2 linked regions of the Styela clava genome follow. The protein of the gene in region 2 interacts with the protein of the main gene of each other region in a pairwise test. Links are inferred from orthologs where the notes say so. Each region holds a gene or a part of one and is shown on either strand. Other genes may lie near its edges.

Evidence for each region.
Region 1: the proteins of splicing factor 45-like (region 2) and U2 snRNP-associated SURP motif-containing protein-like interact in binary tests that used the Homo sapiens proteins (3 or more experiments, as listed by UniProt). The link is inferred for Styela clava from reciprocal best matches to the Homo sapiens genes RBM17 and U2SURP.

Annotation. Positions count from the first base shown.
Region 1 is NC_135258.1:18,775,351-18,791,411, reverse strand, and holds the start of U2 snRNP-associated SURP motif-containing protein-like, read right to left. Parts: upstream 6,183-16,061; 5' UTR 5,955-6,182; coding exon 5,931-5,954; intron 5,486-5,930; coding exon 5,272-5,485; intron 5,192-5,271; coding exon 5,058-5,191; intron 4,958-5,057; coding exon 4,735-4,957; intron 4,661-4,734; coding exon 4,518-4,660; intron 4,441-4,517; coding exon 4,335-4,440; intron 4,056-4,334; coding exon 3,841-4,055; intron 3,289-3,840; coding exon 3,245-3,288; intron 2,562-3,244; coding exon 2,457-2,561; intron 1,892-2,456; coding exon 1,825-1,891; intron 715-1,824; coding exon 521-714; intron 1-520.
Region 2 is NC_135252.1:14,902,163-14,919,116, reverse strand, and holds splicing factor 45-like, read left to right. Parts: upstream 1-7,981; 5' UTR 7,982-8,032; coding exon 8,033-8,260; intron 8,261-8,439; coding exon 8,440-8,671; intron 8,672-9,215; coding exon 9,216-9,413; intron 9,414-9,764; coding exon 9,765-9,892; intron 9,893-10,664; coding exon 10,665-10,796; intron 10,797-10,886; coding exon 10,887-10,984; intron 10,985-11,152; coding exon 11,153-11,345; 3' UTR 11,346-11,611; downstream 11,612-16,954. Other genes in the region: ATP-dependent DNA helicase DDX11-like, read left to right, coding at 13,512-13,632, 14,036-14,139, 14,477-14,701, 15,221-15,296, 15,640-15,761, 16,337-16,421, 16,652-16,801. UniProt on the Homo sapiens protein: Splice factor that binds to the single-stranded 3'AG at the exon/intron border and promotes its utilization in the second catalytic step. Involved in the regulation of alternative splicing and the utilization of cryptic splice sites.

The sequences.
Region 1 (16,061 bases), on a different chromosome or scaffold from region 2:
AAGAATATTTCCGGGCCAGGAGCGTCAGCAAGATGCCCATACCGGTATGTATAATTAAGGTACCAGTATAATTAAATTGTTACGAATATACAAGTGCTTACGAGTATAGCGTGCTTTTTTAGAACGCAAAATAATAAATTGAGAAACTATTTTACTTAATTTCGGCGGGCAATTCTAAATCGTTATGAGGGCAGTAATTGGCCCATGGGCCACGGTTTGAGAACCACTGCTTCAAATAGCAATAGATGGCTACTTGTCTAAAGCGTGGTTCGAAGTGAAGCTTAGTAAAATACCCAATAAAAAATCTTTGTGTCGGAAGTGAGCATTTTTGTAGATGCATGAAAATATGCTTTAAAAAGCCTTATTCGCAAGTGTGAAACACTGAAAACAAATCAGGATGCATGAGACTAAGGTAAAATAGAAGTAAGGAAGCTGATACTTATGTTTGATATATCATCAAGGCCCATGATTCTCTGGACCAAAATTTAAATCAATCATATGAACTCAAAAAATAACTCACTCATCTTTCAACTCCTGTCTTCTTTGTTTTTCTTCCTTTATAGATTTTGTTTCGACTTCTGTCGTCTGCTGTTCATCTCCCGACTCTGAATCTGACATTACTTCTTCATATGGATTTATAGGTGGAGGACGCCACATTGACCCACCTTCAAATAAACGGAAATCCTGGGTTCGCCATTTTGTGGCCGTTTCACCCTGAAAAAATAAAGATATAAAAGCTTTGGGAATGTAAAAATGATGTAGACCAGGAAAAAATTTTGTAGACCATCACTTTAGAACAGGGTTTCCCAAACTTTATTAACCACGGGCCGAAATTAGAATCGGAAAGACGTTCGCGGGCCGGAAGAATGTAGCGCCCAAAAGTGGATTCACTTTCATTTGAAATTTTTTCAATGGAGAAATACGAACACTGCCATTTATCCAAGAAACGTTAGTTTTCTGAGTCTAGTTTTCGTTTGATTTCTGACATCTTTAAGCTTTCCTATATGGCTGATAACTAAATTACTGCCCTATGTAATCCTAACTCCGGTATCTATAAGTAGGGATGACGGAATCGAGTCCGGGTTCGATTACAGAGTCGATTCTTTGCGGAATCGACCAGAATCGATTCCGATACATTGGAATCGATTCTCGAGGTTGAATTTTGGATTTTAAACAATGTGTAACGTTTTGTGGCAACTCCTTCGCATGTATGTATGAACTGCTTTACTGCTAAGTTGAGTTGCTACGGCGCCGCAAACTTCACTATATATATTTATTTCGCTAGAAGGCTTTTACGTGTACGTTTATTTATTTCTAAAATTTCTGAGGGATTCCTCTTTTTTGGTGCGATTTAGTCTCCTGTGACAGATTGAATACCCATACTACTTAGTTTTGGCCTCCTTGTCCGTCCATATATTGGAACATCGCTCTCTGGTTTGATTTCATATGGTATTGCTTAGGTGGGTATGTTTTTTCGGAAAGATATGTCAAGGAATCGAGAATCAGAATCGAAAATTTAGGAACCGGGTAAGAATCGAATACTTGAAAGTAATCATTCTTAGCATCCTTACCTATGAGTGGTATGCTGGTATAATTGAATTGCTACGATAAACACTTGCTTGAACTCTGATAATGACATAAATTAGCGGTATCTAGATCGCAAAAAAGGTAGAAATATAATCTGTTGAACACTATTTCACGTAAGCTCGGCGGGCCATTTTAAATCGTTACGCGGGCCGTATTTGGCCCGCGGGCCGCGGTTTGGGAACCCCTGCTTTAGAATTATAATTTAACTAGATCCTTCATTAGACTTATTTGAAATACCTGTAATATTGAATACATCCTCCATCTGTAATAAATATGAGCAGGACTCTGATTCTCAAATAAAAATCTGAAATATACAATATTTAAATATAATGTAAACTGTAGAAAAGTTTCTTTACGAGAGTGCAATCAAGAAAATTATCTTGAATTCGTATTATCCGACACACTATTAGTCATTATATGTTTGAAAGGGTCCTTGAGTGGAATACAAATAAGTCATTAATTTAATTAACTTCTAATATCGATACCTATGCGTCTTTCATAACTAAAGCATTAACAATTTGAATCTAAATGAATTATATAATTTGGACATGTGGGTAGTTCAGAAAAAAATTACAGATACATCAAATCAAAAATGAATGGAACATGTAATATATGAAATACAGATTGCATCCAAATATATATGAATTAATATTTTTGAAATTTGAATAATGGAGCGTGTGAAGTAGATGAACATGATTGGATTATAATTAATATCGAAAAGCTGCAAAAATTGATGAACCTGGGGGAATAAAATTTATTGAAAAATTGTACAATCCTTTATAGAGAACTATAACCATTTGTATTTCCAACTTCTCCGATATACCTATTATTAGCAATCTTTTAAGATCAAAACAAAATATATAAGATACCTGAACATGGGGTTATTAATCTCCCTATTCATTATCATTGCTTCAAACATCGGTCCTTCACGAACGACAAATTCAATCATACGATGAATAATAACAAGGACGCTCCTGCAATAAATTGCGGGTTATAGGAAAACTAGCCTACGAGAGGCCAAACACCACAATTATCAGATAGATTGTCGGAATTGCTGGAACAAAAGAGAATCACAATGGCTTTAGTTCGAAAATTCTATAATTCTTCTTTTCAAATTTCAATGTGTGAATTCACTGATTCAAAAAAAAAACTGAATTGACTGTGATTTGAGGGATTGTTATTTGAGGGACTCAAATAAAACATAGCATTAACCAGAACCAAATGAAAAATTAATAAATGAAAGTTTGGGGGCTTCTCTTTTTAAAACGCAGCCCCAAGTCAGGAAAAATTCAATAATGCTGTATTTTTATTTTGGATATATTTAATTAATTTAATAAATGCAAAAATGTACTGCAAAATTAGACTATTTAAATAAAAAAACGAATTTCAATAATCTGGAATTGTACAAGCACCAGTGGAAGAATATAACTCATTTAAACCAATTTTGCATCAATGCATATCGATAAAAATAAAATTTAGGAAATCCTATTTGATTTACGTAACTTCACAAAAAATATTCGGCAAAATGTTTCAGATTTACCAGTGGCATACTTGATCGGCTGCTATAAACTTACCATACTTTAGTTACCACACAACACAAAAACAATCCTACGCTAAGTAATATGTATATAATAATACATTTGTGAGATACTGATACCTTTCAGTTGGGATTACCACCCTCACAACTGATTTTGCCAGTGTCTTTGGTTTTGAACAGATAGAGAGATGATGCGAGAGACGGGATGAAGCCACCAATGGTAAAATAACAGGGAAACACGAATTAGGAAATGATATAAAACATATAATAAAGTATAACTTATCAATAACTTGTGTTGGAGAATACACAACATTATCAAAAAAACTTTGAAATTGAAAAATTATCCCTTCTAAATGAACCACCTGATCATCGCGTTTATTAATTTCAGGAGGAGGAGCTAAGACTTCAAGATTTAATTAGAAAAATATCTTGAAGGCAATACTTACTAATCGTCGAAAATACATAATATGCCAAATCGAAATTTCTGTTTAGAGTCTATATTTCCTATTCATAACGATCTTTTATTTTCAATCATTTATCCCTTAATTAAATTTCAGCACTAAAACTTCCAAACTCTTTTAAATATAAAGCTATTGTACTTGGAAATTTAGATAGAAAGGTGAATATCTCAAGGTCATTCACATATCCACAAATTATGTTTCTGATCTTAGAAAAAAAAAAAAAATAACTGAAAGCTGATGGATACCAAATCTTACATCTTCGAATTCTTCTTGATCACGAAATGACGGAGCTACTCCAATCTCTCCCGATGCTTTGCTGGGATCTTTTGGTTGAGCATTAAAAGGCAGTCCAGAGGGTGGCGGAGGTAAAGTACGTTCAAGCATGATAGGTGGGACATATATTGGATGTGGTGGAATTGGTACTGTTTTTCCCCAACCCAACTTCATTTCATAGTCCATTGTCATTTTTCCTACAAGAAATAAAATGACAATCAAATCGGGTCAAGGTAACAAGTTCACTTTCAATGAAATTGATACACAAAAGTGATAAAGTAACACTTATTGAGCCATTTTCACAAGACTTTCATAAATCTTGTACATGAATCAATCAGGAAACAACTGATTACAAATCACTTTAGTTTCAAACATATTAATTTATCATGAAAATTGCTGCAATGATTCATCAGAATTCTCATGAACACATGTACTACATAAATATTGTACTAGCTATAAACAACTGAGAATTCAACCTTGTAAGTTTTTCATTGCTTTTTCAGCATTTTTCCTCGTCATGAAAGCAACAAACGCACAATTACGCTCCCTTGATCTTTCTTCCTCTGTTCTTGGCCACATAATCTAAAATACGATAAATAAAACCGACATATCCTAATTGTGTTCTGTTTCAAGCAACTTTTAAAAAAAAAAATTCATACTTTAACACTTGCAAGCGGACCGTATTTTCCAAAAACACCACAAAGCATTTGTTCGTCCATTTTAGGATTGACATTTCCAAGAAAGAGATTTGTAGTCATAGGATCCCCGCTGTCGTGTGATCCTGGTACAAGTTCATCAAGCACTGTAAAAACCAAAAGTTTGTTGAAAAGGTGGAAGCTTGACAACAATAAAAAAAGATTAATTATATGAACATACGTGAAGAAGAATCCTGTTCACGATCCCTTGGCGGAGAGCTCACATTTTCAAACCTTGATGGTCTTGCTTTTTGACGGTTGTCAGTTTTCGTAGATGATGATGTTCTTGTGGAATGAGAGTTGCGATCTTTCTTGAAAGCATGTCGTTGTTCACGTTCAGCTTGAATGATTTTTAGTTCCTCTTTAAAGAGCTCTAAATTGCTCTTTTTCTTATCGTCCTTTTTCTAGCGAAGTAACGGCAGCAATGATTAGTTGAGATTAGAAAATGAAGTCATATAACTATGCATGATGCTCTTGTTAAAGATTCTTTACTGATACACGAACCTTAATAGTTGGTCGATCTGGTTTCATATTTTTTCCAGGTGTTGACACTGATACATCAGGTTTCGTGGAGAAACTCTTCACAAGCTCCTGTAGTTTGGATGTTGGCTTGTACAACTTTCCCTTTTTGTTGCCAGCTGTACAAGAATTTGGAAAATAAAATGTCAGAAATGCTTTGGTATTCCAAGAAAATTGATTATTGGAAAATATTTCTTACTTTTTTCATCAGGGTTTATAACGTCACCACGAACAAAGGCTTTACCACGGCCTTTGTCACCTTCAAATGACGCAACAAACTCGCTATAAACTTCCGCAGTCTTTTTTTCTTCCTCTTTCTTTCTCATTTCTTCTTTGTCCTTTTTAGACATTCCGGTCTTCACAATGTTCATTCGTCCAATGCTGAACGCCTTCAGTTTACTCTCTGGTATCGACTATAAAAAAACAAATTGCCGATCAGTGATTTGTGGAAATCCGAGTCAATATCGAGGGCTTCACCAAAGCGGTGTCAAAGATTATGAAACAACTGTTTTGAAAAAATGAGGAAAACGTATTTTCTTGATTTTTAATATCCTGTGCCTCTTCATTGAACACTCTGGCAAATATCGCTTCAAACTTCGATTAGAAAACCGGACGAAAAATCATTTATATTTTTGTAATTTTTTTTCAATTTGTCCGCCCATTTTTTTGGAACCGTTGATAGGCTGTCATTGACACGTAATGCTCTTGTTACAAAGCTAATACGCAATTTATAAAAAATATAATTTAACACCAAAAAATTGATTGCAATTTTTACATCAATACATGGTTACTGAAGGTTAAAGTAGTAAATGTTAGCTGTTGTAATTATAGAGATCAAGATGAGATTTTTTTGCTCACTTTCATTTTGAATGTGTTTTCCATCTTGAATTTTCTGTTCCTCCTGTTTTGTGTATTTACTTCAGGGAGTAGCACTTGGTTTTGACCTCTAGATTGTCAACAAACTGCAGAAAACAAGCAGTGGCCAATCCGGTCATCAACAACCCGATACTGAATAAGACGCACTGTAATACATCACTTGAAAATATTGAACTACAAAGTTTATTTGCAATGTGCTGCAAAATAATATTAAAACTGTAATATCAAGAAAAATGATAATTTTAATACAGTTACAACACAGTAATATGGATATATGATCCGCAGCTGTGAGGTGGTACACTAATAGCAAAATATCATATTGAAATTCCTAATCCTAATCTTCAAAGCATATTGTTTTTTTGGGGCTTCCGAAGTATGCGAACCAAGATGGCGGACATCGGAATGTAATATGTGTACTAGGTTGGGGTTAGGCCATAATTTTAGGTATAAATACTACGGGAGGCTCTTGGCTAGTCTTCGAACTGATAATAGGACTAAAATGAGGAAAATTGGAAAAAAATTATCGCCTAACCCTAACCTGTTACCCATGTTACGTTCCGATGTCTGCCATCTTGGTTCGCATACTTCGGGAGCACCGTTTTTTTTCTAGATATCCTGATGTTATCACCATACTAAAGAACTAGGGTTAGGTCTGTAGATTTCTGAATACCAAAACATCACACAGAAATAATTGACTGTACTAGAATCTATTAAATTACTTCTCTTTAATAAGATATGATTTGTTCTTTATATCTCATCCGAAGACAAATTTGGAATATTTATCATTGTCGAGTGTGGACCATATTACTTTTCCTTTAATGATACATAAATGTGTTTGAGACTTCTTCCAAAAATGTTTAAATTTCCGAAGTTATTTAATGCCAAGCGATGAAATTACAGTATGATACAGTTCACCGATTCTATAAATAGTCCCAGCATCAATTTTAACAGTGAATGTATTATATACACAGTACTATAGGCCCTCATATTGACAAACCGACACCACACAATATATTGAAAGAATGCATAATCTAAATTGCAAAAAACACAAGTTTGGTCATGCACCGGCCGCTGCACACCGCGATTGATTCATATTGTTACGGTATCAAGACAAACATGGCATGTTTTTACACATTTGCCTTCGTGTTAGATGCCCTCGTTTCTGAGTCAAATATTTGAATTTAGGAAAAATTTAGAACATTTTTATTGACAAATTGTGGATTTTGAGCTGTCAGACAAACGGGTATATCTCAACTAGTAAAAAACGAAAGAGAAAAAACATTGACCTTTATATTCATGTTGTTTTAGTCGAGTCAAAAATGCTGCGTTTTTTAAGCGGAAATTCAGTTCCAACAGCCGGCCGAGTGAGATGACGCCACCCGAGACCAAACTCAATCGATACAGGTCAGCAGGTCAATACTGACAGATAAAAATCTTAGTATGCAGTTGAAAGTTTCCAAATCGCCAGTTCGTCCTAGTATAAAGCGCTTAGTAAAGCGAAAAAGTTTCCAATATCTCACTAGGCAAAACATGCAATGAATGTTCTTTATACTGCAATATATCATTACTGCATTAAATAACTTCAGTTGTATGGATGCAGTTGTCTGGTTGTCCGTTTTAGTTTATGAAAATTAATAGGCATCATAGTATGACTAAAAGTTGTGCGGCCCGCTTACTCGGCGTTGACTGATAAAATGGCTCGCGATCGAAAATGGCTTCGCCCCCCTCGTTGAGGATATAATGTTAACGATTAATGTAATTTTCCACATGAACTTGTAACCAATGAATTTGGAATGTATTCAATATTTAAAAATCCCTTGAATAGAAATATATTATTGCATAAGCTAAAAATGAAGGTGATTTAGTCAACAAGCTTAGAACACATGACTATCAGACTATACAGCAGTTCGTACAGGTACGGTACCGTCTTTGGACAAACTGAAAAAGCTAACTTGTACTCTTCAGCCCTTGGCGGCTTGAAAACTAATATGGTGCAATTTCTATATGCAATATGGGTATAAGTATAGCCTACTCAGGAGAGGAACTGTTTTATTTCTGAGAGTGAGGTGATGGTTCGCCAGTCTGCCAGTGTCAGAGTGTGAGGGAAATAGGTGTCGTATGCCAGTATTCTCGGGGTCTCTCTGTCTCTGGACTGACTGAGTAGTCTATAAAACAAACAAGACTGCATCACTATCCGCCTACAGCCGAACAGCTATTCAGGACCATGATCGTATGGAATAATGTCGGTGTGCCCTAATTCTTTTTTTTTTTTGAAAAATTTAAATCCATAGCTAAATCGGATTTATGAAAATGATAGTTTTGGTTTATCCAGATATATTATGTCAATTTAATTGCATGAATCCCAATTTCCAATTAATTTAGGTGATAAGTATACAATAGGCTACATGATATCAGTATCAGTAGTTTATTTTTACACATGCCGAAAATACACATGATACGAATAGGATTAAGTAAAAAAAGAAAAAAATGCATTTTAGTGTGAAGGAAGACGCGATAAACCAGTAATGGTTTTAGGAAGTCTAACATCAAATTTTATAAAGGAATAAAATAACGAACATTAAATACTAAGAGAATACGGAAATAGAATATATTCAGGCGACCCGAATATCCGAGTCTCGTTCATAGATAATAGTTGATAGATAAATAATCACAAATATTAAATAATCCAGATAGGCCTACATTTACCCATATTAGTTCAAATATCCAATTTAAATTGTGTCCACATTCATGAAATGTCAATCCATGTAATACAGTGACCATTGTGCATACATTTTTTTTTCATTTTCAGTAGTTATACTATATATATTATAAATTTAACCGATATTAGCATTTAGGGAAATGGAAAACAAATTTTTTTTAAAGAATTAGACAAATAATCATAAAAACGCTCATCATGCTATTAGGCGTTTTCCAGATTCTCGGATGCCGTAATTCAATGTAAAGAATTACCGGTACCGTAGCTCCGCAGATGAGCCTGCTTATCTAACTTACCGTAACGAATGAGTCAACGAATGTAGGCTACCGTACCGTCCTGCGCAATGGCGTTATTCACACGTTTCGCTAGGGGCGCCATTGGATAAGACAACAAGAGAGCAATGCTCAAATATATGGACACGCAGAACAATTCCCCAAAAATCATATGCGGTGACCAACGACTAACATACCGGCGGTGACTTACCAGTACCTGTATCGGGGTACCGTGACGGTACAGGGACTGTCATAGATATTTTAGGTCCTGTGACAATTGAAACATCAGTTGAAATATCTCGTGATATGAGTCAATTATGTACCGTATTATCGGATCAGGTACCGAACCACAGTCAAACATTTCACATAAAAACGTTACTAAATAACATGCGTCAACTTAACACCAGCCGAATCGGGGTACAATTTTTGGTACAGTGACTGTCATAGCCGTTTAGGGCTGTTGGACAATTCGACTACACGGACAACTCACCAGGCCTAGGGTGGTGTAGCCAGTCTGCGGACAATTTCATTCAAACCGCTATAAAACAAAAACCAATATATCTAACCCATTAATTTTTTCACCGTGGGTGCATTGGCGGCATTTATTCTACACGCTAAACCTCGTATTAACTTTCTACGACAAAGGGTTAAAGCTATACAAATCCCCAAAGTACGGCACTCGAAAGACGTATTTGCGACCGAACGACCAGTGTGCGACCACGGATTTCAAGCCTTGATCATCGTTTCTGCTGCGTCGAGACTACCGCATACGCAGCCATACAGCAATCAAACAGACAAAACACGGTGGTCGCAAATTGGTTGACAAAGATATTATCGACGTATTAGGATAGGATTTACATATTTATCCCGGGGGAGAGAAGTAACTATCAAAGATGGTTAACACAACTCTACCCACCTGCCAAGTTTCATCTTTTTATCTCTTATATTTGTATGGATTTTCAAGCTTTTGACAGCTACGAGTTAGTTCAGTGTCACCGCGCTGTGTTACGGTACCAGAACTACTCTATCTTTAGAAGTTCCTGTCTTGTGACAGCGTGCAAACATTGGGCTTCTAATTGCATTTCTGGCCGTCATATATTTCAAGAACACGGTTATTTCGAACAAAACTCGTTAAATTATAAACAAAGCAAAACATCACAGCAATCAAACAGACGAAAACACGGTGATCGCAAATTGGTTGACAAAGATATTATCGACGTATCGGAAATGCACACCCCCTATTCCCCCTCCTTCAAATGTAGAAACGCGAAACTTTCAAATATGGTTAAAAGAAACACAACTCTACCCACCTGCCAAGTTTCATCTTTTTATTTCTCATATTTGTATGGATTTTCAAGCTTTTGACAGCTACGAGTTAGTTCAGTGTCACCGCGCTGTGTTACGGTACCAGAACTCCTGTCTTGTGACAGCGTGAATTGAAATTGCAAGATGGTCCGTTGGACACAAAATGGCGTCCGATATCCTTAGAACGTTTAGTGACGTCATAGCAAACAAAAACAAATCTTACAGAGCTAACAGAAATATTTGAAATAAATAAAAGTAATAGCCTTCTGGAGAAAAATTTCATCTTCAACCACTGAAAATTTCAAAGCAATTAGTCCAGTAATCAAAGAGAAAAGCGACTTTTTAAAAACGTGTCAAAGAACAAGAACAACAACAACAACATAATATTGAAACGATCGTTATGTCCACTACGTGTCCAATAAATAACTCTATTTGGCCATGCAATGGACCTTTCCCCGAGCATCGACATCCTTGTTTTTTTGGGGACATTGGCCAATCAGAATGATGCAAAAGTGACGTAACAATGCTTCTTTTTCGCTTCCGCTCAGACACTTTTTTCACTCAGACAGATTTTAAAGCGTGGTCGTAAACTTTACTTCGTTTCTGCGTTTTTGAACTTTATTCGTTAGTTTTCTGTTGTGTTTCGGAAACTTAAAATATAAATCAGATAATTCAATGATCACTCTGTCTTCCTAGAAGTTTTAATTTAATTGCAGTAATAAAAAATTAGTGTAGAAATAGCTGTGAGAGACTAGGCTAAAATTCTTTACCGGTAATTTAAAAAAAAAAACAGATTGTTGTATGCGATGAATCATAATGATGGTTTGAAACACATACCCTATTTTACAGGCGCCAACTCGCAAAAGCACTCTTAAAATAGCCCCGAAAATTTTGCCATGGTAAAGTATAGGGAGTAATTTTTCGAGGGTCAAAGGTCGGGGAAAGGTCCATAGATTATAACTATTTCAGACATAAATTATTGTACACCAGAATAGCAGATTTCATAGCAATCAAATAATTACGCAAGACTAAGATTTAAAACAAGTCAAAATAAATATAAAATCATAGACGCACGCAAGAAGAAATTTGAGTCATTGTGTGTCTTTTATTTTTTATTTAAATTTATTATTATAATTATTTGATGATAATGTTTCATGCATGACGAAATAAAATATCTGAATCTGAATCATTCTAAAATTTAACGACAAAGTATTTACATGTCCTGAATAACCGAGAAGTAATCTTTCAAATACAATTTACGAAAAACTAACTAGAGAAAAGCTACCATGTAAAAATAATCGGAACACATTATTTAAAAAAATCAGCTAGGCCCGTTAAAAGATATATAATAAATATAGGGGACACGGGTAACGTGACTCTGTTTACTGGACGGCAAAAAAAACAAAAACGTTCATTTGGCTCCTGTCAGTTGCAAGTCGGATCATACGTTTCCGTTTTGTTTGGCTGTCGGAAATGGTTATTCCGTATTGTTATGTTGGCTGTACGTATAGTATCAATGAGCATATATACAATGAGTGGAAACTTCCAAATATTTGCTCATTAATCCATTGTACCCTTCATTTTTTACGTCGTCCAGCTAAATGGTTCGTTGTATATGAAGAAAGCACATCGTTCGCTGCAAAAATCCCTTGGCGCGGCGGTGTGGCTCAACGGGCTAAGCGTTAGGAATACGCTCGCCACCGCACCTCTAATTACTCTGCGTGGGTTCGCAGGTTCGAATCCCCTGCAGGAATGGTTATGTGCGAGAGGATTGCTGGCCTCCTCGCCGTCGTTGGGTGGTTCACGTAACCGATGGTCGGTTACGGCTTCCTCCACCACCAAGTTCATGCTTCCGTAAACAAACAATATATAACTAATCCCATACCCGACTTGGAATGGTAACCGGACGAGAGGCCGTGGTTCGCCATATGGATAAGGCGTCTTATCGGCTTTCCTCTCCCCCGGGATAAATATGTAAATCCTATCCTATCCTATCCTTGTTTCAGCTGGGTCGAGTGCAAAATTGGCCGTATTGAGGCTTTTGATTTTTCGATTCGTGTTCGGTTTTGGGTTTCGAAGTATGGTACGTTGAAAGCATACTAACTATGAGCATATGCATATTGGGAATACATATCTATTAGGCAGAAAACGTAGCTACAGAACAGAATATGAATCAGTCGCCACGTGGGGTGCGGTTATTGCTGTATTTATTCAGTGATATAACATGGGACTTACATATTTATCCAGGGGGAGAAGAAAGCCGATAAAGCCTAGGCTGCCTGGACTTTGTGAGCTTTTGGTATACTTATTAAAAATACGGATTTTAACTATAAATTACTCTGGGATATCTTGCCATTGAAATTTAAAATTATGATGAAATTAAAACAGTGCGCCAAAAGTTCAATTCACGAGGGCGTGAGGAGTGTATAAATTAAAAACAATGCGTCGTTCACAGCGAAATTCCACAGTCACGTGTAGCTCGCCTCTGTTTTCTTGACGGTGTTTGGTGAATATATACACAAACACGCTCGCGTGTAGCGCCGATCGAATCATGAAATGTGGAAATATTTACTTGGAATTTAATGCTAACCAATGAGCATATATACAATGAGTGGAAACTTGCAAAGATTTGCTCATTATGGCATTGTTCCCTGCATTTTTACGTCGTCCAGCTAAATGGTTCGTTGCATATTAAGAAAACGCATTGCTCGCTGCCAAAATCCCTTGCTTCAGCCGAGTCGGGTGCGAAATTGGCCGTATTAACTTGACTTGAGGTCTTTAATTCTTCAATACATATTTGATTTTGGGTTTCGAAGTATGGTACGCTGAAAGCATACAACTATGAGCATATGCTTATTGGGAATGCATATCTATTAGACAGAAAACGTATCTACAGAACGGAATATGAACCAGTCGCCGAGAGGAGTGCGGGTATTCATGTATTTATTAATTAATATAACATGGGATTTACATATTTATCCAAGGGGAGAGGAAAGCCGAAAAGAAGTCCTAAATATATGGCGAACCACGGCCTCTCTCAATCATAGCTCTGTCCTCCATATGAATCACATGGCTCTGCGAGCTATTCGTTTACTTATTAAAAATACTGATTTTAACTATAAATTACTCTGGGATATCTTGTCATTGAAAACAAAAGCCAGAAATTGGAAGAAAAGCAGGGAATGAAATGTGTGTATTATGTAATGGAGAACCTGAGTTTGTTTCACATATTTTCATGTATTGTGAATTTACAAAAAATATTTATGAAGATTTTGTTTTAGATATATTAAAATTGATTAGAATACATTTTGTTATTAATATGATTCTTGCATATTATTTAATTTTAACGATTCTTTATATAGTCGTATAGATACTGTGGATTTGGATGCAATTATACTTTTGTAATCAATAGTGAGAAATATTTCATGACTGCTATTAAATATGTGAGCTTTTTTTTCTGCAATGCAAAATATTTCCTTTGTCTGCTATTTACTATGTGAATTAATTTTTCTGTATTGTAAAGTATTTCCATAACTGCTTTTATTATGTGGGCTGTTTTTTCGGTACACTCGTAGTATGTGTACCAGATTAGGTTACGATTCTCCTTATTTTTGTTCTATTAAAAGTTCGGGAATTGTCTGTGTTACACAAGTGAATATCCCCCTACCGATAGAATTTAGTCCATTTACACAACTTGATATAAAGTAGGCGAACAAAATTAGTTACCTTCATATTGGTACACATACTTCTGGAGCACCATTTTTTTTGTAATGTAAAATATTTAATATGTGAACTAATTTTTCTGTAATGCAAAATATTTTCTACAGCTGTATTTTTTATATGTCACTTTTCATTTCATCGATAATACACATTGTTCATTCTTTGTGGAGTTTTTGGTAAATTTACAGATGGAATAAGACCGACATTCAGCTTTTTCTGTTTCCCAACTGTAATACAAAAAGGTACTCTTGAAGTATGTAAACCCAGTTGGTAGACACCGGAACCATGTGTACCAGGTTAGGGTCTACAACATACAAACATTCCCAAACTTTTCAAGCCGCACCCCCTTTTTAGAATTTGTGAAGTCTTGCTCCCCACCTCAAAAATAATTAGCTAACAATAATAAGCTACAAATAACAGTAGTAAGGCGTAAGTATCTTTTATTGGAAAAACATGTGGAAAATACATGGATGGAACGAAATAAATGACAAGTTTTGATATGCAAATATTTACAAGTTTTGATATGTATAAAATTAGTCAAGTCCAGAAGTCAGTATTTTAAACTGATAGAGCGAGAGAGTTTATTTCGTTCGTCAAACCATGAACATATATAAATTACAAGAGAGCAATGCTCAAATATATGGACACGCAGAACAATTCCCCAAAAATCATATGCGGTGACCAACGACTAACATACCGGCGGTGACTTACCAGTACCTGTATTGGGGTACCGTGACGGTACAGGGACTGTCATAGATATTTTAGGTCCTGTGACAATTGAAACATCAGTTGAAATATCTCGTGATATGAGTCAATTATGTACCGTATTATCGGATCAGGTACCGAACCACAGTCAAACATTTCACATAAAAACGTTACTAAATAACATGCGTCAACTTAACACCAGCCGAATCGGGGTACAATTTTTGGTACAGTGACTGTCATAGCCGTTTAGGGCTGATGGACAATTCGACTACACGGACAACTCACCAGGCCTAGGGTGGTGTAGCCAGTCTGCGGACAATTTCATTCAAACCGCTATAAAACAAAAACCAATATATCTAACCCGTTAATTTTTTCACCGTGGGTGCATTGGCGGCATTTATTCTACACGCTAAACCTCGTATTAACTTTCTACGACAAAGGGTTAAAGCTATACAAATCCCCAAAGTACGGCACTCGAAAGACGTATTTGCGACCGAACGACCAGTGTGCGACCACGGATTTCAAGCCTTGATCATCGTTTCTGCTGCGTCGAGACTATCGCATACGCAGCCATACAGCAATCAAACAGACAAAACACGGTGGTCGCAAATTGGTTGACAATTGTTGGTCTTGTGACAGCGTGAAAACATTGGGCTTCTAATTGCATTTCTGACCGTCATATATTTCAAGAACACGGTTATTTCGAACAAAACTCGTTAAATTATAAACAAAGCACCCCATCACAGCAATCAAACAGACGAAAACACGGTGGCCGCAAATTGGTTGACAAAGATATTATCGACGTATTGGAAATGCACACCCCCTATTCCCCCTCCTTCAAATGTAGAAACGCGAAACTTTCAAATATGGTTAAAAGAAACACAACTCTACCTACCTGCCAAGTTTCATCTTTTTATTTCTCATATTTGTATGGATTTTCAAGCTTTTGACAGCTACGAGTTAGTTCAGTGTCACCGCGCTGTGTTACGGTACCAGAACTTCTCTATCTTTAGAAGGTCCTGTCTTGTGACAGCGTGAATTGAAATTGCAAGGTGGTCCGTTGGACACAAAATGGCGTCCGATATCCTTAGAACGTTTAATGACGTCATAGCAAACAAAAACAAATCTTACAGAGCTAACAGAAATATTTGAAATAAATAAAAGTAATAGCCTTCTGGAGAAAAATTTCATCTTCAACCACTGAAAATTTCAAAGCAATTAGTCCAGTAATCAAAGAGAAAAGCGACTTTTTAAAAACGTGTCAAAGAACAAGAACAAGAACAAGAACAACAACATAATATTGAAACGATCGTTATGTCCACTACGTGTCCAATAATAAAAAAAAAAACAGATGCCCAGGTGTATGACTGGGAGACAACGTTACAACATTTCGGG
Region 2 (16,954 bases):
TAAGCGGTATTTCAACACGGCGTAACGGTACTTAGCAGACGTGATGCATACATTTTTTGCCGCGGATTTTATAACATTTCTAATTCATGACAGCAACGTTTTGATAACATCTAAACTCAGGATAGTTGTCTCGAAATGGAAATGTCTGGAAATCATGTTAATTTTTTTTCCTAGAATGTTCTCGATCTATATTCTGCGATATTCCCAACATTTGTGAATTTATTGTATTGCATTGACAAAAATATTCATCCGGCCCGTTTCAACACAATTTGAGTCATATCCGGCCCGCGGTCAAAAAAGTTTGGTGACCCCTGGTCTAGTAGTTCATTGGACGCCAACACTCTTAGAGATTCTATATTTTTACTTTCAACAGACGTTGGGTCAGCAAGCAACATTGGAGTTACGTCGAGAGTATCCAAGACAGTTCCTACGTCCATAATCTCAGTCATTCACTTCCCAGATCTGATGTTGAAAATTATTGTGGACCTCAGGCTTTGTGGATTTTGAGATTGTTGATCGTCAACAAATATGGTGGACGGTAAAGCTTTTTCTAAATCCACAGCTCCAATGTTTGGAGGCCAAACGCCACATGTAGTGTGGGCAGGCAAACAGTAAAGAATGATATTGTTCTCTCTGGCCTACGTGCTCGTGCAAAAATCTTTGCGGGACGTGTGATCGTCAAGAAGAAGCACGACGGCCCCTCTTCTTGACTTATTGGGTAAATTAGGTATAAAGGTTTCCTCCATTCAGTCATAGAATGAATCTTTAGTCATCCAACCTTTATCGATTTCATGACATCTGCTTCCCTCGAAAAAATCCAGTGCGTGAGAAGGATTCATGCGGTTGACGGGAAAAATTATGTAAGGTGAAAGAACGTTGCTGCTGGCACTAATATAAATCAGTACTGAGAGTTGTGTTGTTTTGTTGCATTCGTTTACAGGCAACAACTTTTTTACCGGCCTTCGTTTGAAAGGATAATACGCTTTCGTGGCAGTTGTATACACAGCTTCCACTCGTGATATTATTTTTATCCAACATTGTCGTGTACTGTTCAAACCAACTGGTTACCCTTCACTCGGAACCAGCAATGACTCGCGCCACCTACAATTTCTCAGTTGACATCAGTTTTAGGTCAGGATTACGAGACAATAATCCGTACCAACTGGAATCACTGGGAAGATTATTGTTGAAATACCTCACATGCTTTCCTGGTAAATCTAAAATGTTTTCACCGTTTGAAGCAACTAAATAAATAATTATTTGAATAAATACATTCACCTAGATTTGGTCAAGAGCAGCATATGTCTCACGTCACTCTTTCCTATCCTGAGTTCATTTTTGGCATGTCCTTAAAAAATGTTTTTAATGATTCTTCCTCCTCATGTGTTAAAGTAGTTGGAGGCCCGCGTTTAGGCATCACAATGAGTGATATTTTTCTTGAAAATTTAAGATATGCCGTCGTTACTATAATTCGGCAAGCAACAAATTCAAACGTGCTTTATGCGACGGACCGATACCGAAAGAATTGTTGACAGTCGAAAAACAGTAACAAACCGGCCAGAGAAGATGATTGCGGCGGTTAGGCTACTTCACTAGACCCTTATGTTTACCTTTGTTTAGTTGATTTCTTTTACTGTACTACTGCTTCTTGTATGAATTTGCCTTCAGCACCCTGTCGCCATGCCACTGTAGAGTTTCATAAGTGTAGATTAAAACCCCTTTCGGATCCTGATTTCAATAATATTGTTTGCTAATGTCTTCCGAATGAGGTACTGCCCCAAAAAACAATGGCCCGTACCGAAGTTGGCGAACCAGGTTTCTTAGCGGCGGTTGACATGGTCACCCTGACTGAAGTCGCTTGCTTCCTTTGTTACAAACGAGATTCGGGTCGCCTCAATGTATTTTATTTCCGTATTCTCTTAATATTTGACTTTTTTCCTTTGGATGTTCGATTTCCTTATAGGTGACGCTGCTCGATAATCATTACTGGTTTATCGCGTCTTCCTTCACACTGAAATGCATTTTTCGTTATCCTATTTGTACAATGTGTATTTTCGGCATGTGTAAAAATAAACTACTGATACTAATTAATGCCACTGCTGAAACGATCAGACAAAGCTGCTTGAACGATCAGACGAACTGTCAGCCCCAGAAGATCATGGCAACAGATCTGAAGACGTCAAAAAGTTTCAGAAGAAAGTGTATCATTCGTCATGACAGCAAATCCGTGCCAGAAACGAAATACGAACAGTTTGAGGACTTCGTTGTAAAATCCTTAAACAGCAACTTGGAGCTTGACAGTCCCATTGTCAAACTCGATATCGACATCACCCATAAGTTGAGGTCAAAATCCCCGAAGAACCCTATCAATATTAAATTTGTCAGAAGATCGACAAAAAATTTAATATATGGTAAGAAGAAAGACCTGAAAGGTAGCGGTTTGTCCATCACGAAGTGATCAACAACCTCAATTAAATTTGCTTGCCTATAATCCGCGACTTTAGAAATCTTACTTGAACCTTTAACAACCTATATATTCCCGTAACCAATCTTCATACCTCTGTATCATACGACCCTAATTAATTTTAATTATAATTGCCGGTACTTTTGATTAATAGTATTTAAAATAATTTGGACGTTAATTTGGCTTCTATTTAGTGAGTGAAGCAGATCTAGCCCACCTCTTCATGCATCCAGCTTGGCAATTCTGATCGGGCAATTTGGCATTAGGTGACTCCAATTATAATCAGCTTGACGATATCTTTTGAGGAATATTTTTCTATCTACAGTATATAACTGTTTTTGACTAATTCGGTATCCAATATGGCAATCCTCATGGAATTATTAATTTGGTGTGGCAAAAGTATTCATTCATATTTTAATTTGTTTTTATATTTTTCTTTTTACCGAGTAAATTAATTGATTTTAAGTCTCGCTTTTTTAACTTCTAACCTTATCATGTTTCGATGAGTGTGCGTGGGTGCTTTAATATTTTTTTATACTTTTGGGTGAGCGAACACGTACTACTTCTTTTATCAATACTTTTCCATTTTAAAATTTGTACGCTTCAAACCTTGCTTAGGTTATGTTTGCTTTCCCGATTCATAATCAGTTATTTTGTTTTTATCTATTATTTTATCGTCTACTGCTGATAATCTAGTCAAAACAAGAGAGCAATGCTCAAATATATGGACACGGAAACTATTTGCAATAATTGCATCACGCTGTTAAACCGGCAAATATTTTTTGCATTGATAAAACCGCGACCATATTTCATAACATGTTGAACATTGTTGAAAAAGTTGTAATGCTTCTTTCTTGGCATATTTGTTGTTTCTGTGTTTACAGCAGAACTGTAACAAAAAAGCAACAAAATGAATATAAACATTGCAGCTTGCAGGAATACAAATAAAATGGACTAAGGTAATTTGACTGCAATAAAATAACAGTAAACATGTAAATGAAATGAAGTTGGTGTGCTCTGGCATCAAGACTTACATGCGCCACATGTTAAAAATTTTCGGATAAGTTAAGATGCTTCTTTCGTAGCATATTTCTGTTGTTTCCAGCAAAACTGTAATGAAAAAAGAATAAACATGACAGCTGCGAGAATAAAAAGATATACGTTAGGTTAGACGTTAATTTTACCGCAGGTATCAGGTTATGGCACCAGTAATGAACTGACTTTATTTCACTATTAAACATTTGATATGCTCAGCCCTTACACTTACCTGCTGCACATGTCAGCATGTTGAAATTTTTTGTAAAGTTTGTAATGCTCCTTCCTTTGCATAATTCTGCATTTGTGGTGTTTCCAGAAAAAACGTAACAAAACAGCAAAATATGAGAACAAGTATCGCAATTGTACAGACATTCTCATTACTGCATTAATAAAGAAGAAGAGACAATAATTGAATTTCCCTGCAGACGCACTACAAGTAAATGAATTCGGTAAGCTATGGTAAAATTGACAAAGTTACGACAAAATAGACTCTTCTTATTTTCACTGATAACTCTACTCTATTACGGTACTAGGTAGGGTATGTATTGTATTAGGTAGGGTTTGTTTTTAAGTCTGACAGTCTACCGGTACCGGTATCGCACCCATAAAAAAACTTTCAATACTGTCCCCATAAAAAACTTTCAATTCCCAACTTTCGCTAAGGCGGTACCGTACCGTCCCCACAGAAAACTTTTCAATTCCAGCATCCGCTAAGACGGTACGGTTACGGTACAGCGCAGAGACTGTCGTGGTTATAACAGGGAATGCAAGCCCCGCTTTTAGCATACGAGTTAGTTCAGTGTAACCGATTTTGCTCTTATCAAAATTAACTAATACGGTAGGCTAGATTTGCTGGAAAACCAACCTTATTGCAGTACAGTAGTACCGGTAAGACCGCGTAAGGAAAAATCGTAGCAAACAGCAAGGACTTCTTTACGAACCACCGACGTTCGATGGCACGTGATCAGAAGAATCGAGTGCTTATGCGACCGCAGAACGTTCGGTGACGTCATAGCAAACAAAAACAAATCTCACAGAGCTAACAGAAATATTTGAAATAAATAAAAGTAATAGCCTTCTGGAGAAAAATTTCATCTTCAACCACTAAAAATTTCAAAGCAATTGGTCCAGTAATCAAATAGAAAAGCGGTTTTTTAATATTTTCACTAGGTGTGTTAGTCTGTGTCAAACAACAAGAACAACATAATATTGAAACGATCGTTATGTCCATTTCGTGTCCAATAAATTTATACCTCTATTTCGCGCGTAGGATGGGTTTTGAATGACTGAGGTCTATTCCCCTATTCAGAGCACAGAGATATATAAATATATATTTCCAGTTCAGTGATTCAGAGCCATTATGGCTCTGCCCTATTGCACACATGATTGCACAAACGCGAAACTTTAAAGATGGTCAAAGGAAACACAACCCTACCAACGTGCCAAGTTTCATCATTTTATCTATTATATTTCTAGTGATTTCCAAGCTTTCTCAAAAGGACAATGGGTAGTTGACGACATAGAAATTTGGTCCGTTTTTTTCCCTAGGTCGTTTTTTTGGTCGTATTTTCGTTGTTTATGGAATTTGAGTGGGATTTTGCAGAGCTACGAGGACTAGTGGACGAAAGCGCGTGTGGAATATCGCCACGGTTCGTTAAATTTTCCGCATTAATTATTATTAAATCAATGAAGTTAATGGCCACAAAGTGGCTAAGCCACCCTACTAATATAAGCTGATAAGTACCGGTATAAATCATGCGGAATTATATCTACTCAAATCCTAACCAACTAACTCAATATTTGTCACCATAAGGGATAGCCCTGTCTTCATGGTCCACTTGCCGTGGTTACGGCAGCAAAATTTTACCTGCCATTGACCACTGTGAAGCTAGTAGCAAACCTTCTTCTAATTTTGCGCAGCGGTGCGTATAATCTCGTTTTTTTGCTCATTGAAGGGTGAAATGACAGTTTTGTGCTTATTGAAGGGTGGTGGCGTAAAACATGGGCGAGTCCTAAATTCCACACAGAGAACAATGATTAAGTTTGTAGACAGGCTGTGGAAGAAATACATCACGAAGTACATCACGATAAGCAATAAATTCAAATATATTTGACGGCAACTTAGGATACAGAGTGGAAAGCATCCCGGCGGTTTGATCGCCTATGCAGTTTCATTTGTCATAGTACGTTGTCGAAATTAAATATACTCGGCTGATAAAATTGATCAGGACAAATATTTTGACAAAAAATGTTAGATTACGTATTCATATAAGCTTGAAAATATAACGAAACGAGTGTTCCATGTCACCTGCATAGGTTTCGGTAATAACTGCCAATTAAAAGCTAAGTTATGTTCAATTTATGTGACATTTTTTGGAAATACTTCTCATGCCTGCAAACATTTATACAGAGGTGCAAGATGGTACACGAACTAAGAGAAATAAGCAATATCAACCGAGCCATTGAGTTGAGGTCCAAATCGTCTGACCAACTCGATTTACATTATTAAACACTGTGATACCGATAAAAAATTATATGGTGCCCATTCCGTGATGCTTTATGCGCGCTGCTTATTTGGCTAAAGTGTTAATTCAACCAAGAGCCCCGAGCATTTTTGTATAACTTTAAAAATATTTCAAAACCAGCCTACTAAATTACAACATTTCGTAGCCGTAAAAGTGCTTTACTTCGTTTCAAACTGTGTATTGTATTACGTAACAAACGTTAAACTTCATTATAATATGTCTTAGTAATTTAAGAAGTTTCACATGCATTTTGTAGTATAAAGCAAATTCTTCAACACATGCAATAAACAGAACGTAAAAACTGTTTTGTTTCAATATGTCTCACTGGCGCTGAAATCAGAAGTCAGGTTATTATATGTCGTACATTATCGTTATATCGTAATTTGGATATTTTGAAGATCAGCATAACGTCTCTTCTATATTGGTGGCGCGAAATATTAATTTTTTATTCAAGAGATGACAAATTTCCAGAATTATGTGCAATCGTGTCATTAATACACGATAATTTTATAAAAATGGTACAAACAAAATTATGCAATTTACAAAAGTCAAAAAAGCTAATTTTGGCAACTTTCAAATCCCAGCAGCACACTCTACGCACAAGAGGCATTCGATTTGATTATTTTATGTTAAAGAAGTTTATCTGAAGTTTTTTACACAACTAGAACCTAAGCCTTTTTTATTTTAGAATCTGGGGTATTCTCATAGCGAAAATGGCCTTATTTGGAAAAATTACGTATAGCTGAAAAAGCTAATTTAGTCAATTTTCAAAGCCTAGCAGCACACCCTTCCGCACAAGAGGCATTCGATTTGATTCTTTTATGTTAAAGAAGTTTGCCACACAACTAGAACCTAAGCCATTTTTATTTTAGAATCTGGGGTATTCTCATAGCGAAAATTGCCTTATTTGGAAAAATTACGTATAGCTGAAAAAGCTAATTTATTCAATTTTCAAAGCCTAGCAGCACACCCTTCCGCACAAGAGGCATTCGATTTGATTATTTCCCATTAATGAAGATTACCTGAAGTTTGCCACACAACTAGAACCTAAGCCTTTTTTATTTTAGAATCTGGGGTATTCTCATAGCGAAAATGACCTTATTTGGAAAATTACGTATAGCGAAAAAAGCTAATTTAGTCAATTTTCAAAGCCTAGCAGCACACCCTTCCGCACAAGAGGCATTCGATTTGATTATTTCCCATTAATGAAGATTACCTGAAGTTTGCCACACAACTAGAACCTAAGCCTTTTTTATTTTAGAATCTGGGGTATTCTCATAGCGAAAATGACCTTATTTGGAAAATTACGTATAGCGAAAAAAGCTAATTTAGTCAATTTTCAAAGCCTAGCAGCACACCCTTCCGCACAAGAGGCATTCGATTTGATTATTTCCCATTAAAGAAGATTACCTGAAGTTTTCCACACAACTAGAACCTAAGCCTTTTTCATTTTAGAATCGAGCTTTTAGCTTTTATTCTTAATTTTGGTTATATACTTGTTATTTTTCCCAAATTATAAACATATTTCCCATAATAGTATGCTAATTTCGTTTATCTTCATTTTTTTGGGTGTAGATTCTGACACGCGCCTCCATTTCTGCCTTAAATATTACCCTTTCCGCTTCGCCGCACACAAAGGTCAAATTGCTACTAGCTTCACAGTGGTCTGCCATTGGCTTTCAATTTGCTGCCGCGGTAACGGCAGCTCGTCATTGGTTTGTGCTTGTGGCAGCTAAAAAGTCAGTAGCCATAGGTTTGGCTGTAGCGGCCATGGTATGGAAATACTGCCATGGTTTTGCGGCAGCTGCAGACGCCACAGAATACTTGCACTTGTCGAATTGTATGACCATAAATGTTTTTTTCAATGTTCAAGAGTGTTCCTCCCATTTTGACAACACGGTTTCGACTTGCAGGGTGATTCTGTAACACATAACTGCATAATGTCCAAAATAATTTCATTCTCTGGTATGTTTTCAGAATAGGCCTATATATAAACGCAAGAACAATGTCTCTCTATGATGGATTAGGTTTGGATAGTAATCAAGGTGAAAAAGCAACCGGGTGGTCTTCCAGTTTCACAATGCTAAAGTCTCAACTTGAAGCAAAAAAGGCAGCTTTAACAAAGGCAAAGCATGAGAAGTTTCGAAGTGGGAACCCTGTTGTTGCTCCTGTGATTAATTTGAATAAAGCAGTAAAAACAGAAGAACAGCTTGATTACAGCCATGATGACAAAGTTAGTTTTAAAGTTGTGGATTATTTCTTTTTTAAATAAAAAATTTCCAGGTACTTTTACCGATTGGTTCGTGATTCTAGCTGCTGAGCTGTGCAGTTTTAGAATAGATGTTCTATCTTCATAAGTTCGTATATTACTAAGCAACATATTTTAAACGTTTTTGCATTTCAATGATATAGCTAGTGGATACAAAGCCTAGTCCGTTTCTTGGTGGAGAGAGTCTTGATCAATTTGAAGATGAGTACGATCCTAGGTATCCGAATGAATATGAAAAAGTTACACGAAAAAGAAGAGAAAGACGTCAGCGGGAAAGAGAAGAGGAAAGGCAGAGAGAAATGGAGGACAGACGGAAAAGAAGAGATTCAAGACATTCGGATCGTGATAACAGACGAGATGATCGAGCACCCCATGGTAGGATTAATACAATTTTCGTGATATTGCGAATACTTTAAAACCCATATATTAGTTTTTCTTGAATCAGTGAATCAATAATTTTTGATGGATAGTAGCCTTAAGTGATCACAAATATCTTGTGTTCACTCTAAAGAAGAGTTTAAAAGTAATCAAAAGCCTACTAATCTTTACTGACATTATAGTGCTTCAATTAATATTCGAAGTTCTTGGAGTTGAATGACATACACATACACATCAATTTGAAATAGTTCTAAGAAAAAGGGGATTTTGAATGCGGAAAGTGATAGAAAATTCATATTTTACCCACTCTGGATCAGGTTCCAGACATGCTTGCAATTGTTACTTTGTAGATAAATATTATGTGCTTAGACATATTCTAACCATCATTTACACTCTTGAAATTAATTTATGTGAACTTCAGTTACTGTGGGCTTAAACAGTCAGCTAACTATGAGACTGACTCCTTTTATGGCACCAACATACATTGATGATGACTTCATGAAAGCGAAATATTATATATGTAACCATTGTTGTTGTACAGGTAGGTTTGGTGGGCCAGGAAGTGGATTTTCGCGACGACCTGCATCTGACGAGGATGAAGAAGATGATGATTACGAACGAGAAAAACGTATCAGAATGACCCAGGGAAGTAAAGCTGCAATCGCACCTCCAACTATTCTTATAGAAGAAGATAAAAAGGCTGAAATTGCTCCTCCACCGCCTCCTCTAGCATTAGCAGGTTTCAATATCTTCATTTTTCAACAAGCCGTATATTAAACGAAAATTCTAGTCCAATTCATTAAACTAACAGTAAATACTTATTGGCTTAGGAGGTGTTTGTGTATTCAAGGCCTCATTTTTAGCCATATAGAAACTGTGTCAGTGTCGATTGAAATTTAACAGGGTGTAATTTATGTAGAGAGAAATTTCAGATTTTATTTTTAGAAGACTATATGAAGTAAATTTTATCCTTCATGACTCACTAATAGTATTAGGGAATTATAATATTTTTACTTAATTGATATTCCTCCTCAAAAGAATTCCTATCCAATTATTCGATAATAGTGAACACTTGATGCATTACTTGTAGGTGGAGCTGGAACACAATTTGCACGAAATATGGCAGGTTCTGTAGCACACAAAATCATGACAAAATATGGATTTAAAGAAGGATTGGGTCTTGGAAAAGGAAACAGGGGCATCAGTCATGCATTACAGGTTTGTCACATTTTCCGTGTTCGATACAAAGATGTTTCAATAAAATTTAATGAAATAAACAAGATTAATTTATTAGTTGAGAATTGTAATTTGGGGCTATTTTTAGTGTAAAATCTTTTTGGGAATCACAAAAGAAAATATTTCCAAAAGTTTACCAATACAGTACAGCACACTATACAGATCAAGTGACATTGTCTCGTTACAGAGAAACCCATTTTACAGATGATCAGACACCCCTCTTTTGGGAGACGTTTGTACATTGCTGTCTTTCATATATCGTATAATGAAGTTGGCAGTTGCACAAAATACTACAAAAAAACGCAATCTAATAACGTCATCATTGAATTCCCCGGGGAAAAAATAATCCAATTTACAGAAGAAAAATTTTTTTTATCCTGGCATACGAAAGTTTTTACCGAAAAACGGCAATTTTGATCACATGACGGCTGCGATTAATTTAGATTATTATTGAGACAAGCATGGCATGATCTGATTTGGTGCCACACGCCCCTCGTTTGTGAGACGCATGGAGTGTTTGTTTTATTGAACCAAATGGAGGGAATTCTTGGAATTTGGATAGTGTGCCGTACTGCAATATAATAGTGCAGAAAATGCTCAAGGCTGCTCATCCCTGATTGCAGCCATTTAAGTACATCCTTTTTGCCAATCGTTTGACCTGGAGCAACACTTATGATTGCATAGAATCATCTGGAAAGAAGCATTAGCTTTCCTAAAAGTAAAGTCTCTCTTTTGGTATGTTGTCTTATAATAGGTTGAGAAGACAAGTAAACGAGGAGGTAAAATCATACCAAGTTCTCAAATTGAAAAACAACTTGAAGAAGAGAAGAAAAGGGAACAGGAAGAAAAAGAAAGTGTAGCTAATTTGTTAAAGAATCCTACAAAGGTATTTTTACTTGTTTCTGTTTTTTTTTCACATTTGGTTAATGGTATAAATAAGGCATATTTTCTATGTTTATCAATGCTCAATCTACAGGTCGTTTGTCTTCGTAACATGGTTGGGCCTGGAGAAGTTGATCAAGAATTAGAAGGTGAAACATCGGAAGAATGCAGCAAATATGGGGAAGTTAGAAAGTAAGTTTGCGCAATTCCATCGGTTTGATTAGATCTACTATTTATTTATTTGCTATGAACTGGATTTATTTTAAGATTAGATTTTGAAGCAAGATGGAATTCTATAATTCTCTGTCATTTGGCTTGTTTCATTTTATCCTTGTCAGTGAATTCAATTTTTATTTACAGATGTATGATATATGAAATGGTTGGACAACAAGAAGAAGAAGCAGTTAGAATATTTATAGAATTTGAAAGACTTGAATCTGCGATCAAAGCAGTTGTGGATTTAAATGGAAGATATTTTGGCGGAAGGACTGTGAGAGCTTGCTTTTACGATGTTAGTAAATTTCGTGATCTACACCTTGGGGATCCTCTCTGAGCTGACTGCCACTAACAGCTTTCCATATCATCTGATGGGAACAATGTGTTCGCTGCAAGCAAGAATATCGCCATTCTGAGGAAAATGCTAAGATTCAGGTCATGAAAAGCAAGGACTTCGAACTTGAAACATGCAATCATGCCATGTCTACCTAAGTACAATACGTCCACCGGGACTGATATAAATCCTTGTTTTATGAATTTATTTTCTTGTAATATCTAAAGAAAATTTTTTTACAGTTCAATTTGATAGCTTAAGATTGATTAGCTGGGGTCTGCTGATTCCTGTGGACAAGTACGGGTTTCCAAGCAGAATTAAGCGAATATGCGGAGCTAGCAATGTTGATATGCTTAGATAGATATGATACAGGTTAAAAAGGTCTTTCGACTTTTACCGCACTCACAACTTCACATAAGGTTGCACAATAAATAAACTTGTCCCATCTCATCGTGAACAAGCAACTAAAAGACACTAATGCTATGTCCTGGTGCTTGATAATTGAACTCCTTAAATCCAACAAATTCAAAACAAAGGGAGTGATGTTTTCTTGTTCTTTTGGTTAGGTTGATATGACGATCTAAGGTTTATATTCTCACTGGACAATGCTGTGCAAAATGGATTCTTCTGTTAACAGATCTCAAAATTATGGTATACGTGCATGGTGCATTGTCTTACTGTCCATATCACGCGGGAAGTTCTGTGGTTAGGTTTTTTGTATAGACCTTCCGGCTTGAACCATGCTTTTTGCGCTTTCGAACAGCATTGAAGTTATGCTACTTAAATGACCGTAATTTTAATACTGTTAAAAAGCGTCAGACATATAAATAGCATTTTGCCGTAACTTCAATACTGCCAAAAAGCGTCAGTTGTTTAATTTTCCAATAGAATTTCATTGTAACTACAATACTTTAATAAAGCGTCAGTCGCCTAACCTTTAAATAGCATTTCACCATAACTTTAATACTGTCAAAAAGCGTCAGTCATTTAAATTTGACTTAATACTGGTAATATTCGATTTCACTGAAGGTATAAGTTTGGGTTACAACGCGAGACTAACTGTATTTAGTCCTGCTCTGTTATGCTGACGATTTGTAGGCGTATAATAAGGCAAGGATGCTGTAGCCAACTGATAGTGGTCAACATTCAACGCTGGAATAGATATGCATTCTTCTTTCGAAAAGAGAGCTCATCTGATTCACACCTACTTCTTGCCAGTGTGGGTCAGATCAACGTTTCTAGTATAATAATAGCCTATTATTAATAGGTATAAGTATATTTTGATTTTCTCGCAAAAAATCATACACAAAACACAAACAATGAACACACGGAAGATTGGGAATATCGGGGAAACTGGCAAACCCTTTATAAAGGTTTAATACATGGAAATATGCATGCGCCAGATTACCCACGCCAGTTTTAGTATTCATTGAACGTCAGCAATCATTTGAGGATTTCATGACAGATGCGCGTAGTGATGTTATATCTAAGCCCATGTATCTGGGTCGAATTATTAGTTAACTCTTTCAATAGACAACCAAGCTTGTTCGTCTGACGGTAGACTGGTTCGCCATGAGGAATTGAATATGTGTGAGGAAGGATAAGCGAAACGTAGGTATTGAATATCCCAGACCCATGAATATTTATGTTAATCAGTCTTCGAATACACATTACTATATTGATATGTTAGTCATCGCGTTATTTTAAGTTTGTTTTTGTTATAAGTAAGACATAAGTAACACACAACGGGAATGAATCTAATCTCAAACGTCTCCAACTGCTGGGAAAGTTGTTCGGTTACATCAATCTGTGATAACGACATTTGGTCATTTCAGCTATAATTTGATGACTGAACGAGATATTAATTCAATGTAACCATTATCATGTTTTAGTAAGTAATAATAATTACTCGCATACATTTGATATCACAGTCATGGTTTTAAAAAAAAAACATTTTTTTCTTTTCTTGGAGAGAGTCTTAAAATACGCCACCATGTGCTGAGCTAAAGAATTGAGTGGCGGGAACTTTAAGGATTCGGTGATTCCCTTGAATGCTGGAAAGTACCTTTCCGCTCGTTCTCCTTGTCCGTGAATTCGACTGAACTCCGAGGTTGCTTCTTGATTGCATTCTTATTGAAACCGTGCACTGATATTTGATTTCAACTTGTGATGGAAGCTCCTAAGAATTTTCCGTTCCCATTCGTTCCTTACGGAATACAAACAGATTTTATGAGGAATCTTTATGAGGCAATTGAAGATGAGAAAATTGGTATTTTCGAAAGTCCCACTGGTAAGTCTGTAAGCAGGCAATATTTGTGATGATAATCCACTATAGTGATTGACTAAATAGAATATTTCTGTTTCTTTATTTTAATTTTCCCTCTGACGTTTGCTATATGTCCGTATGTCGAAGGGTTAACATACAAACATATGTTCCTTCTCGAAGTCATATCGCAAAACAACATGGTCCAGTCAGTGGGCTACTAGCAGATGCAGAGATGAACAATAGAATTGCAGTTTAGTCTTTGAGAGATTCGATAATCTATCTTCTGTGTCGAGACAATCAAAAGAACTTCTAATTTTGCGGTATTTCTGTATTGTATTTACTCACCAAAATTTCAATGAGTTGCGAAAAATCATCCATGCCACACACAGGAATAAAAATAAAATATGAACATAGGAATATTTTTCAGGAACTGGGAAATCAATGAGCATCATTTGTGGAGCTTTAAAATGGCTCCAGGATAATGACAAACGAATTCGAGGAATCCTTGAAGAGGGAACTGCAGTAACAGAAGTTCGTATTTCAGTATTCAATGTTTTCGTATAGTAAAATAAATTTTAGCAGATCAACAAATGGAATAGATAAAACAAACTATTTCCTACTTTGCAAAATATGAATTGATTTTAATAATGGTCAATTCATCTCTTTATTTAATTCAGTAATTGCTTAGGTCTTGATAAATAGGTAGATGATCCATTTCATTCAATTTTTCGTTTCATTTTGTGACCATACAATATTTCACTTGGAAATAATCAAAGTAAAATAAAAAATAAGGAATATGGCATTGTTATGATTGCAGAATCCTTTATTTCCATCACTATTTTTCCATATATGTCCTTATATTCCTCAGACAAATGATGATGTTCCAACAAAAGCAACTGACGTTTCTGAAGAACCCGATTGGATCACAGAATTTGTTCAAAAACAAGAGCAAAAAAATGAAGAAAAAGAAATGAGAGATGTTGCTAAGAAATTACAATCAAGGGACAAAAAGATGAAAAGAATTCTAGACGGAATACAGCGAGATTCTTTTGATGAACCAAGCAAGAAAAAGATGAAATATGTGAAAGGAATGGTAAGTTATGGAATGAAAATTTGCAAAAGTGTACATACAAAAAATGTTCTCATAAGCGAAATATCACCCAATGAAAAGTACAGAAGTTGCTCTATTGCCAGTAACTTGTAATGGAAACCTTCGATATCGATCGGTATAACTTATGCAAATCTGTAACGGAGTAGTCCGAAGTTTGGAATTTCTAAAATATCACATGAAATTAAGAGCAAAGGTATGGATTGTATGATTCTGCTGCAACCTTACAAGTTAATGCATAAACACTAAAGTAATGTTCTTTTTCTTGAAATTTTCTTTTCTAGAAGTTTCATAATTTGGTTCTGCTCTGGACAGATAAATTGGAAATTCATTGATCTTAAGAGATCTGAGAAGCAATGGTGTCTTTAGTTTCCCGCTAAGCTCAATATTTTTATACTGTACGATAGGTATAATAAAATATACTAATAATGGCATTTGAAATGATATATTAATTGCTGGGTCATTTTGATTCGATACAACTGTACTTGATCCAAATATATATAGCTGAAGCAAGATGAAACTCTACAACTCATGGAAGAAGCAAAAAGGGAACTTGAAAACCGTGACAAGAATCAAACTGGTAATATGTTTGAGGTTTCTCTATTTTTCACTTCGTAATCTATCAAATATTATAGAATATAAAACAATACATCTACATTTAAAATTATTCCACCGAAAAGCCAGAGACATTTTAAACTAATGTTTCATAGTAAGCAATACCTGAAACATTTCAAAATTCATTCTATGCAAATCATTTACATTTTTGTGGTAATATAATTATAATAGCATAATTGTGAAATGTAACTAAGAAATATAAAGTGAGTCGAGTTCTTTATAACAACTTACTCGACAATACTCATTACTATATTTTTCTGTACAAAATATAGCTGGTCCTTTTCAACTTTCCAACATAAATATTTTAGGCGCTGGTGACAATGACAGTGTGGGCAATGACACAGAAATTGTATTAGATGAATATTACAGCGATGATGAGAATGAAAAAAAAATTGATGATGGAGAAGATGAAGACAGTTGTGTTCAAAAAGTAAATAATATATTTTAAGGGAAAAATAGATTTGAATTTTTATATCAGTGTCTAGTTGACTGCAACTATATTGAAATAAGATGCAAATTGTAGTATTTATGTTTGTTATTTAACCCAGAAAATAAAATAGCATTGCTGAAAATGATTCTTCTCCTACTCAGCTGTTAATCCTGTTTGCTACATTCTTCTCTTTGCCTATTTTGAAACTCTTCATTTTTTTTCTTTTGTTTTCTCAATATCTAATGGATCATGTGCAACTCGCAATCTGACTTTTTTACAGTTTAAATAGTTTATATTATGTGTATAAATATGTATTACTGAATAAGTCAAGAATGTTAGTATTGCTACATGCAAATACAAAGTATAATATTCTTCCCTAAAACTATTAAATTTCTTCATTGGGAGGAATTTTTCTTTGGTTGAGATACCGTGTCGTAGTGGAATAGCAACTAGTAATGACATTCTATCAAAATGAGTCAAAATTACTAGCATTGTTACACATTAGGGTATCTTGACTTATTGACAATAGTAATTTGTTAGACTGTTGACACATACACTTCATTTTGTCATTCCAGATCTATTATTGCAGCAGAACACATTCACAGCTTACACAATTTATTCGTGAAGTACAGAAATCTCCTTATAGTCAGACGTCGAATGGTAAGAATATGTATAATATGTTCAATAGTTAATTTATCCAGCAAGTTTATTATTTGTATCTTTTAGGACTTGCGATCACTCGTAATGTAACATTTGATTGAAGAATTCACGAAAAAAATTACAATTTAATCTCTACTCACTCATACATAACATCTTTTGGTACGAGGTGTATTATCCATTTCTCCTATGCCTTGTTTCCTGGTATTAATCAAAGAAGGGTTTTATATCAGATGATTCCAACTTCTTTGTTACTGTTGTTCCTCTTGCTTCTCGTCAATCTCTTTGTATCAATGAGTCTGTGCGAAGATTATCTTCTGTACAACAAATGAATGAAAGATGTCTCGATATGCAGAAAAATGTTACTAAGGAAAAAGATGAGGGTAAATAAAGTAGTTTTCAAACTCATGTTATCTTCAACTTAACTGATTAGTAATTTACATCTATGTATTTTTTTATATATCCATATTTAGTTGGGAACCTTTTATGGTTCACATTACATGAAAAATTACTAAACCAAATGTGAGAAAACTCGT